Coturnix japonica: one gene and its partners. The protein of the gene in region 2 interacts with the protein of the main gene of each other region in a pairwise test. Links are inferred from orthologs where the notes say so. Each region holds a gene or a part of one and is shown on either strand. Other genes may lie near its edges.

Region 1 (3,648 bases), on a different chromosome or scaffold from region 2:
GAAAGACAGGAACTGGCAGAAGCACAGTGCTCCTCTTCAGCAGCGTATCATTGTGCTTCAGAGCGTGCAGTGCCCTGCATGACATGGGTGCTGAGCAGTTTAAGCTCAAAACTTCTTTCTCATCATGCAGTAATGACAGCCAACTCAAACACATCAGTAACCTTAACATTCTGCCACCATGAGACCATGCCTTGTAAAAATCACCAATCACAGCACTAGATTTGTGCCAGGATTCCTGTCTAAACTGAGAGGTAAGGACAGCAAGCATTGCATTACCTTCTGCTGTAACATCCTCTGTGAAATAACTTGTGGCCTCCAAAGCAGACTCTGTTTCCTCTGGATTCAGAGCTGTGCTTACAGAGAAAGAAATGTTAAGATCTCTAAGGTAACTGAACAACAGCATTACCCATTTTGTTAGCAAAACTTATGATACATCTCTTTTCAGTTGTGTGTCGGAACACACCGTGCTCACAAGCAGCTCACGGAAGTGATCACTCACCAGGAGGCAGATGCAGTTTGTAAAGTACTTTGAGCTTTTCAGTGAGGTCACCATGGTACATCCCACCTGCAAGCGAAAAAAAACACACAAAAACTGAAGGATAAGAAAAAGAGCATTTAGGATTAAGAATCACTTTCTACACTCAATCTCGAAACAACATAAGTTTCTATGCAGCAAGGAACTGCTAAACTGTACAAAGCCACAAAGAAACCTACAGCAAAGTTTCATTTGTAGGTTTACCACCTACTGTTTCCCAAAATGAGAGTTTGTCTAGCAGCAAAAATGCATCTTTAGTTCAGCCTGAAGAACTAAATCCTGTAAGGCTGCCACCCTCCCTTCGTAATAGTTCAATCATCAGCATCTCCTTTTAGTTTTCTTGGAAGATGACAGAAAGATTTTCTGTAATATAGCAGCTCCAGAAATACCACTTACTCATCCCCGTCACAAACTCCTTGAAGTTAATGAGAGAATCCCTGTTCTCATCCAGAAGCCGGAACAAGCGCCCTGCTAGCACAGGGGTATGTGCACCACAGGACCAGGGGGTCAAAGCGATGAAGAGCTCTTTGAACTGCTCCATGTCTATGCGATACTGCTCCAGGTAGGGCAGGCTCTGATCTCGGCGGGCAGCTGCAGCACGATTATTTCCCCAGTAGCAGCTCATCAGGTACTTTGCCTTTGGAGGGAAAGCACTGATAAGTCAGGTTATATTATACTAAACAAGCCATGAGATCGGAGCCTTTCATACAGATCAAAAACAGCACCAAGTGAGAAGGGACATTCCAGGACACACAGTTTATCTTGCCCATTATGATGAGCATTACTTCACTACAAATGAGTACAAAATGGAGGAAGTGACACAGATTTCACTAAAAACAAACAATAAGTGAAAAATACAAAAAAAGATTCCTTTTTATTTGAGTAAAATGAAACTCAGGCTTTATGCACGCAGATATTAGAACTAGGCCTCCCTGAGTCCATAGCACCATGAAATTGAGCTTGCATGCAAGCAGGCACAGCGTAATTGAGCTTGAGTGACTTTGGGAAATGCACTTGGGTGTATTTAACAACACTTCCAATGACAAATAAAGACAAAGCACTTGAGTAATTGTGTTACAATTACAGAGCAAGGTTGTGGCAAACTAGAAAATGAAAACTGAGGTTCAAGTCAGTCTTAGCCCCATGTTCTAAGTACTACATGTCATTTCTACCATTGACTACAAACCCTCTCTCTGAATGAGCACAATTCAAACACTGTGATGAGGCCTGACCATCTTTACAAAAAAAAAAAACAACAAAACTGTTCAGTAATAGAGCCAATCTCACTGGCACCACATATATAACAGAATCCCTTATTTGCTCCTTACCTTGAACACTACATACAGCTCTTCTAGTTCTTCAATAGAGAAACCAATGTCACTAGACACAGCCCGGACCTAGTTAGAGGGCAAACAGAGTGATTTCTTTCAAAGCTACCCAAATTAAACATGACTCACTGAAATCTGTGAGCATAGAAGCTAAGAAAAGATTTGCAAGAAGGTATGAGAAAGGGGAGGAGAGAAAACATAACTGCTCCAATACTTCCCATTGCTATGGATTACAGGTCAGGAAGACAGCTTCAAGTCAAGCAGAAACTGCTGACATTTGAGCAGTAAGTAAAAAACTACTGCTACAGCTTCCTGTTTCTGCAGCCCACAGAACCCTGAGCTGTCCCTTCCTGTTGTTTTTATCTTCAGATTCAGATGCATAGAAAAACAACAGTGAAAGAAACGGATGAAATTCTCTACCTGGGAAACGGGAGATAGTTGCAATAGATGTGGACACTCCTTTTTAGTCACGAACCCTTCTGTAAAACTCCCAGACATGCTAGCATGCTTTCTAAATGCCATTTTGTAACTCATTTAATCCAGGCATCACATACCACACTCTTCTTGGCCGTGTCCTCCAGAGACTGGATCACCTTCAGCCTTTGTTTAAAACGCATTTGTTCAATGTCATCTGCCTTCAAATTGCTAAATTTCTATGAGAAAAGAAACAGGCTGGGTCAGCACCACATCCTGAAGAATGAATTACCCCATGTTTAATCACATGATTTTAACAAAGTGCACTGTCACACCAAAGACCATCCAACAACCCCAGAATACTTTGACCAGCATCGAGAAGGTGAAAAAAAATACCCTTCTCTCTATTAACCCCTGTCCCAAAATGTAATTCAAAAAATCAATTGGGTAAAAACTAAGCCAAAACCTGACCTCATAGGATGTTCTGATGAGGTCAAAGATGTCAATTTCAAGTGGTGGGTCATCCCCACTTGTCAATAAGGCATGCAGGTGTGGAATAGGAGGTGAGACACTCTGCCTGTTAACTACGTTGTCCAAATACCTGTGGAGAAAAAAAAACAACATAGAACAAATGCAAGACTCCTGGATTAACGTCAAGGAAGGAAAAGCAGTAATATCCTAAACACAAAACTCCTTCCCTTATTTGTATGATTAATCTAAACACGTAGAAAAAAAATTCCCAGCAAACCTACAACACTATCCTCAATATCTCCCACGTAGAGGTGATTTTCATCCCACTTTTGGGATATCTGTTCTTTCTAAAAGCTCCCAGAGGTACCTGAAGATCGTGCAAAACAAAGGACAGATTCACATTTGAAGCAAGAAAATGTTTTATTTACTATAATTGGGAAATATCTGCTTGAAAAGGCTTTACGTTACTAAAAGGCTATTCCTGCCAGGACTTGTTCTTAATAATGGATTAGAATTCTTCTGTGTATTTCGGGTAAGTAACCTCATGGAGTTCAAATTCAAACTGAGAAACAGGAATGTAGTATGCCACAAAGCAAACAACTCTGGATTCCTCCATACTTGAGCCAAAAATTTGTTTCAGCTGCTGCAGAAATCAACAGCAATCCTCTCCAGTGCTCAAGTTTCATCCTAGTCTGGTATCTGTGACCTGCTACGTAATGGAATTCAGGGGAACAACAGAAGAGTCTCTCTCGTTAGACTGAAAGGAATGATGACTAAAAGGGGTACTATCACCATTCATTTATAAATAAGAAGAATGGTACCTGCCCAGAATAGTCATTGCTTCACCTTCATCACAGCACTGTAACAACTTCTCCATGTTGGCATCAAGAATGGCCAATG
Region 2 (3,648 bases):
ACAAAAGAAGTGAGAAACCTGCAGCAAACACAGCAAGAAAACATCCCGGCTGGCTATCAGTTAGCTGTTGTCTGCTGAGAACTCAGTAACTAAATAAAATCCAGATCAGATGGATAAGAAACAGGTCAATCCCTCTACATCTTCCTATAACAGGCTGTGATACAGAGCTAACACAAAAACAAATGCCTGATCTTCCACCACGATGGGACAGGTGTTAACAGTAGGGCTGGGCAGCACATAGCAAACCAAAGGATGTACGTGGGGGCCTGATCCCTACCTGTCTTCTTCATGCTGTGGCCCACTCTCCGTGACCAGCCCACAGGATGGATGAGGGGACTCCACATGTGGCACCAGAAGTCATAATCGCTGTCACCATCTTCATAGAGGAGTCTCAGCCGACCCCCGATAACAGTGTCCACCACTGCCATGCGTGTCTGAGACACACGGTTCTTATCTACCACCTCCACCCGCATGCCCTGCCGGAATGGGTACTTCATGCTCTCTGCCATCTGGCAAAAAGAAGAAGAGGTGAAGTGACCACACAGTGCCTTCCTTCCCCAAAGACCTCAAAGAAACAGCTTTCCCCTCCACACACACTCTGCTCAGATGCTCTCACTGCCCAAAGCTGACAGGGAGACACCTCTGGGAAGTACTGAATGGGAGTGAATTCATCAGAGGCACAGGGAGCTGCCAGCCCCACAACATGACAGCGTGGCTGGGCGCATACACCTTAAATCTCCCTTAGTCCCATGCACTTTTTGGAGACCTGCAGTTTGTTGATAACAAACCTAACAGCTTAGGATAGGATAACAGTCTATCCGTACTTACCTGCAAATACTCAAAGGCACGTATAGAACACGTGACATTTTTTCACTGGAGACCCCAGAATGCTATAGAACTACTATGGATACTCTAAACAGACTCTGACACCTCAACCAGCCTACAACTGAATGCAGATCTTCGAAGGGAAGGTGCTCCTCACTTCTGCACATCAGGTGGGAGTGGAATACTGGGAGAGAAACACACAGACAACATCTGCCTTCCTCCAGCACCTTCCACAGTGTGAGCTCTTAACCATGGCCCAGGAACAAGCAGCAAAAAAACCAAAAATCTCAGCTTCCTGAGAAGCAACAAAGGAAACACCACCTTAATCATGGTCTCACCTTGATGTGGAAGTCCACTGGGATGGTCCTGGCTCCCACCAATTTTTTCATGAGGTAGCTTCTCCAGTCAGTGTACTTGGCATGGATAGCTAGACACGCACAGGGAAAAAAGCAGATCTTTATGGCCAAAGAACTGTACTACACCTTTCTTCTTCAGTAATGCAATTCATCTGTACTAGAAGACCTCCACACTCTACCACTCTCCCTGCGCTCAGACAGACTACTCTGCAGCTCACCCTCACTACGGGCTATGAGGAATCACCACCACAGAAGGGACCGCACGGAGCTGACATCCAACTGCGCTCATCCAGATGTAGAAGTGGTACTACAAGAAACACGTAGGTCATGCCAAACAAATCCACGGGCCAGAATCCTGTTCAAGTAGCATCCTTCTCCTAAGTGCTAGCTGAGCAAGAACTGGAGCCAGCGTGTTGCTCAGAAACAAGATGAATCCCCAAAAGCTAAACCTAGCTACTGTCACGGTCAGAAGGAAGAATGGCTACATTTGTTAGACTCTGTCCACAGATATAACACAGCAGCTTGGCACCCAGCACCCCTCTGGGTCAGCCACAGGGAGATGCAGAGCAAACAGCCCCAACAGCACAAGCAGAGCTGTGGGTAGGAGTGTCCATCCCACTGTACCATGCATGAGCTGAGGCAGCCAAGCCAGCGTGTTGGCCTCCCTTTCCCACACTCACTTTGTGGTGGCACCAGGATTTTGCTGTTGACGGCACACCAGCCGATGGGATGAATATCCACTGCACCTAAATTGCACCAGAAGTCATGGCCATCATCATTCTCAAAGCCCTCATATCGCAAAAGGGCCCTGTACCCTGTCAGGACAGAACAAACAACCAAAGAAAGGCATCAGAGACAGAATTTCTCTTTTTCCTCTTGTGTACTAGAGGTTTATTCCCTACAGCAAGGAATTCAGAACTCCACACAGGTTATCCGAGCTTCCCCAACCATTACAGAGGCGGAACAGTCCTTGCAAAGAGCCCAGCAACCAGGAAAGGAATCAGATGCTGATTTCCCCCCACCTTTATACCGTGGTATTTCCTGTTCCAAAATCCCTCAGCAATATTTCTACGAACACAGGTTGAGGGAACTGGGATTGTTTAGCTTGGTTAAGGCTACAGGGAGACCTCATTATGGCCTTTCAGTATTTGAAAGGAGCACATAAATAGGAGGGAGAACAACTGTTTATGAGTCTGGACAGTGATAAGACAAGGGGGAATGGTTTTAAACTAAGACAGACAGGGGAGGTTTAGATTAGATATTAGGATGAAGTTTTTCACGCAGAGGGTGGTGACGCACTGGGACAGGTTGCCCAAGGAGGCTGTGGATACCCCATCCCTGGAGGCTTTCAGGGCCAGGATGAATGAGGCTCTGAGCAGCCTGGTCTGGTGGCTGGCGGCCCTGCACATAGCAGGGGGGTTGAAACTGGGTGATTGTTATGGTTTTGCAATTTGGTTGGTGTTGGTATTCCACATCAGAACACCATGCCTCATAATGGGAGTAAAGGGGACAAGTTTTTTTTTTGTGAACTGCCTCAAATGGGCATGTGGTGGACACCGGAAGGGAAGTGAGGAAGGGGACGGGGTTGCTGGCCGGCTCCCTGAGAGGAGACAACGTGGTCAGAGCTTCCTGCCTTCCACAGCTCCATCGGTGAGATTGGGGACTTGGTATTCTCTTTGTTGAAACTCTCTTGTTGTTATAGCGTTATTAGGTTATTAAACTGCCGTTCGTTCTCAGATCACCTTTTTTTCTCCCTCATTTTTTTGTTAGACCTAATCGCAATCTCCCTTCCCTTCCTCTCTCCCTAAACACACGTGGCCGGGCCACGCCGCAGTGCCGCTAGAGAAAAGGCGGGGGGGGGGGCTTTTGTTCCTGCTGCCCCGGGTTTGTGCCCACTGTCCCAGAGTGAGCTCTAGAGAGAACTCCGTGACAGTGATCCTTGTTGTCCTTTTCAACCCAGGCCATCCTATGATCCTATGAATTGCTGATCTCCAAAGAGCTGATGCTTTACATGACCAGCTATGGTCTTCTCACTCAAGTTTCCCCCAGCAGTCAACTGTGCCTGGCTGTTGGGGGCTGCATTGGAGGCTTACCTACAGTCTGGATGACTGATGCAATCCAGTACACTCGGCTGGGAAGCACGGCATCATTGTTCAGCACCTCCACTTTCATACCTTTCACCACGTCATCCCACTGATCGAAGAGCGGCACCTAAAGAATTGAGGCAGCCAGAGTGGGTGGGTACTGCATTTCAGCAATGGAGACAGCAACGTGAAAGACAAGCCACATTCCAGACAGCCATGCACAGCTGTCACACCACAAAATGAAGAATGTCTCAATCAGCTCATCCACATGAATCAGCTAATGGTGGTGACCATGTTGAAAATTAGTGTTTTATAGCTGAGAGTTTGCACTATCAAATAGTGTTCTTGAGCTCATTGTATCTTTTGTAGTTTCCATGGAACTA
Region 3 (3,748 bases), on a different chromosome or scaffold from region 2:
CCCACTGTGCTGCATCTTGCCTTGAAGGTGCGCCTTAAAGGGTTGAAGTGGTCACCTAAATTCAATCACAAAGAGCTCAGGAAATCTGTTTCATGTGAATTTCAGGCCAGTTTAATAACAAGAGCTTGTGGTCTGTGTGATAGAGCAACTTGTACGTGCTATAATCAAAGGACTCTGGGACACGATAACAGGAAAGCTTTGGAGTAGAAAATGTAGTAAAGATAGTGAGTGTCGGCAGCCCCCAGAACACTCTAAGCTGTTTTCCATCCTCCTCCTCCAAAGAAAGCACTGACATTCCTATCTCCCTTAGCTCAGTAGAAACCAAAGAACAACCACAGGAAGCCGGGGCTGTCATCTTCCTCTACTGCAGGGAAGACAGCTTTATTCTGCTTGAAAAGAGAAAAGAACCCACAAAGCCTGGTCAGAAACACCTGAGCTGTGAGTACCCTGTGCTGAATATGCCTGCTGAGCTGCCTCCCTCCCTGACACAAGGAGAGCAGCAGGAGCACAGGCAGCTTCAAAGCAAGTGATAGAACCAAACGACCTGACGAGTTACTAGCTCCCTTCACATCATCAGCAAGAGCCAACCGTTCCCATTGCACTACTAGAAGGCTGTCGGTGCCACTAACCTGTGCCTGTTTTTATTCTTCCTTTTTTTGTGGCTGCTGTGATGGCTTCCAGAAGTGGAAGAAGCTGCTTTTTGGGGTTTCACCCCTTGCACTGATCCATCCAACTCCTCAGCATCCTCCTGGCTGGGTTCGTTCTCCTGATTATGGAAGTCTGGAGATGTGTCGCTTTCAGTCCCACTGCCCGGCTCACCTGGAATGGGACGAGAAGCAGAAGAGCCCAATGATTATCACCTCACTGTTCACATCCCAGGGCTGCTCCTGCAAAGTATGGGGGGGAAAAAAGGGCTACAAGAACTACAGACACCCAAATTTCTGGTGCCAAGGACTGGAAATGCAGCCCTGCTGTCAGACCCAAAGCCATGGTGACAGCAGAAGGAAAGGTCTTAAAGCTGGATGCCCACAACAGGCTGCAGCCTCCAGTAGTGAAGCTCTTATCTCCTCCCATAGCCACGTGCAGCTGATGGAGAGACACAAGACATCTAAAGGCATCACTTCAATCCTGGTTTCTCCATCCAAAGTGGACAGCAGAGAGCCCAACAAAGCAGAGATGGGGCCGAGCTGTGGGGAGAAGCTCAATTCTTCCTAATTCTGCCAAGTGAAGAGGTGACTTACGCTTCTCAATGAGCTGATCCTGGACTCCAGCTAACGCACTGACAGCCTGGAAGGATGAAATGGGTGTTAATGACAACAGGGATGCACTCATGGCTTAACAGATACCCACAGCAGCTTGGTCCCATGGGGTTGGGGGCTGGGGGCAGCTCTTACCGCAGCAGAAGTGACTGAGGATTTGCTGAAGAGCCTCTCGGCCTCTTTAAACTTGCGGTTCCTGCGGTCGTTTTTGCTGTTGGAGTTCCTGCAAAGGAGAAAAGAGGATGGAGGCGGCCCATGGAAGGGGGGGGGGGGGTTGGATGGATGGGGAGGGGGGTTTGGGGGTCCCATGGAAGGAAGGGGGGCGGGTTGGGATGGATGGGAGAGAGGCGGGGCTGAGGGTCCATGGAAAGGGGGGGGCTGGGATGGATGGGAAGGCGGGGTTTGGGGTCATGGAAGGGGGGGTTCTGGGGGTCATGGAAGGGGAGGGGTTGGGATGATGGGGAGGGGGTTTTGGAGGGTCCATGGGAAGGGGAGGGGTTGGGAGAATGGGAAGGGGGTTTGGGGGTATGGAAGCCGGGGAGGGTTGGATGGATGGAGAGGGGGATTTGGGGGTCCATGGGAAGGGGGGGGTTGGAATGTATGGGAGGGGGGTTTGGGGGTCATGGAAAGGGGGGGTGGGGGGTTGGGATGGATGGGAGGGCGGGTTTGGGGTCCACACTCACTTCTGGTTGGTGAGATAACGGTCCCAGCCGCGGATGATGTTGCCGTACATCTGCGTGTCCTCCAGGTAACTCCCTTCGAAAGCATAAATCTGCCTTTCCAGGTTGGCCAGCGTCTCCTACCGGGCACACACAGCGCGATGCATAGAAGCGGGCCTGGCCTTACCTTAAGGCCACAACCACAACCACAAGCCTCACCGCCTTCCCACTTTATCCCCCCCGTCCCCATCGCTCCCTGCTCACCGCCAGCTCCTGTTTGCGTTTCACCAGCTCGGCCAGCTCCCTTCGGGTGTCCGGGATTTGCGGGGGTCCGCCGGACTTAGCGTGCAGGGCGGCCATGGCGGCTGCGGCCTGCGGGGAGCGGGCGGGGCTGCGGGGAATGGCCGCTAGGGGGCAGCACTGAACAGCGCTCCGCCCCCCTGCTCCGCCCCGCAGCCGCTATAGGGTCGGGCTTAATAGGGACATGGGAGGGGGGTGATGGGGAGCCCTAAAAGCATCCAGGATTTGGGTCTGTGCAATAAACAACAAGGCAAACCTCGAATATAAGGTTGAACCCTTCTGCTCACTCAGCAGCTCAAAAGCAGGGCTCAGTGCTTCCCTGTGCAGTGCATGGGGGGGAAATAGGGATATAGGAAAGAAACATTACAATTAAATAGAATTACAAATTCTTTATTTAAAAACCTTGAGATTGTGTATATATATAAAGGTGATCCTTCAAGCCAAGATCTATCCTGCTTTCTATATGAAAACCTATATCAACACCCCGTATTTACACCATCAATGCTCCAGTGTGTGTATACAGGTTGTGTGTGTGGCCATAGAACAAACAGGCAACAGTGTGTTAAGCATCAACATGGAAACCATAGGGAACAGACAGCCACAAAGAGGTGAGATGTGTTTGTTTCCAGTCATTGGGGTTTTTAATTTCCTCTTCCTAAAGCTTTTCCTGTGGGGGAGAATGTTAGAAAGCAACGAGAGCTTCAGTTCTTTTTATATATATATATATATATATAAAGAAAAACTTAAATAGTGCAAACCGGGTAATAAAAACATGCCACCACGTAACGAGTACAATTACAAACAAAAAACATTAAGTTACTCATGGAGCTGATAGAAACAAAGGGCTGAGGTTTAGGAGATACATGACAGTCAGCCATAGTTTGGGTGCTGCAATGTATAGCGTGCATTGATGTGGACCTCAGCCCTCCCAAACCACATCGTTGCAACCTAAAAGCCTCAGGTTGTGTTTCCTTTTCTTCTCACTTACCTTGGAATCGACAGGCAGCTCATTGTGGTCAAATGCCCATTGCTCACAGTGCAGAGCAACCACCCAGGACACATAAAACCTTTGCAATATCCCTCTTTTAGTAGCAAACCTGGTCATTCTCCCTTCTAGAACTCTAGAATTTGGCAAACTCTACAAAACAAGACATTACAAACAATGCATGGGGTTACATTTGAAACTAACACCTCAGTTCAGTAGCGTTTTCAAAGGCTTATGACAAAAAACAGTGGATAAAAATATTCTTAAATACACTTTGCTGTGTTCTACATCGTTTCTTTATCCAGCAGAAAACCATCTTTGAACATGTTTCCAGCATCAGATCATTCACATCCAGCTGCTCTTTTGCTTGTCAGGGGGGTGAAATAAGTCAGATTTCCCACTATACAGACCTACCAAAGCCAAATATTCAGTGGAGTCCCCCACAATAAACCATAAGAACCAGTCAGCAACAGAAGGACTTTAAGGCAATAAGAAGCACCAGTGCTTTGATGCTCCAACATCTCCATCCCAATGCATGTTTTATT

Evidence for each region.
Region 1: the proteins of L3MBTL2 (region 2) and TBC1D9B interact in binary tests that used the Homo sapiens proteins (3 or more experiments, as listed by UniProt). The two-hybrid records come from large-scale screens. The link is inferred for Coturnix japonica from reciprocal best matches to the Homo sapiens genes L3MBTL2 and TBC1D9B.
Region 3: the proteins of L3MBTL2 (region 2) and MEAF6 interact in binary tests that used the Homo sapiens proteins (3 or more experiments, as listed by UniProt). The two-hybrid records come from large-scale screens. The link is inferred for Coturnix japonica from reciprocal best matches to the Homo sapiens genes L3MBTL2 and MEAF6.

What each region holds. Positions count from the first base shown.
Region 1 is NC_029528.1:4,630,957-4,634,604, forward strand, and holds part of TBC1D9B (TBC1 domain family member 9B), read right to left. Parts: coding exon 3,570-3,648; intron 2,879-3,569; coding exon 2,749-2,878; intron 2,517-2,748; coding exon 2,418-2,516; intron 1,933-2,417; coding exon 1,864-1,932; intron 1,173-1,863; coding exon 932-1,172; intron 566-931; coding exon 500-565; intron 349-499; coding exon 277-348; intron 1-276. UniProt on the Homo sapiens protein: May act as a GTPase-activating protein for Rab family protein(s).
Region 2 is NC_029516.1:45,388,830-45,392,477, forward strand, and holds part of L3MBTL2 (lethal(3)malignant brain tumor-like protein 2), read right to left. Parts: intron 3,393-3,648; coding exon 3,275-3,392; intron 1,997-3,274; coding exon 1,862-1,996; intron 1,253-1,861; coding exon 1,164-1,252; intron 510-1,163; coding exon 278-509; intron 1-277. UniProt on the Homo sapiens protein: Putative Polycomb group (PcG) protein. PcG proteins maintain the transcriptionally repressive state of genes, probably via a modification of chromatin, rendering it heritably changed in its expressibility.
Region 3 is NC_029538.1:3,342,590-3,346,337, reverse strand, and holds the start of MEAF6 (chromatin modification-related protein MEAF6), read right to left. Parts: upstream 2,329-3,748; 5' UTR 2,279-2,328; coding exon 2,183-2,278; intron 2,059-2,182; coding exon 1,943-2,058; intron 1,483-1,942; coding exon 1,395-1,482; intron 1,288-1,394; coding exon 1,242-1,287; intron 820-1,241; coding exon 630-819; intron 387-629; coding exon of another isoform or gene 362-386; exon of another isoform or gene 1-361.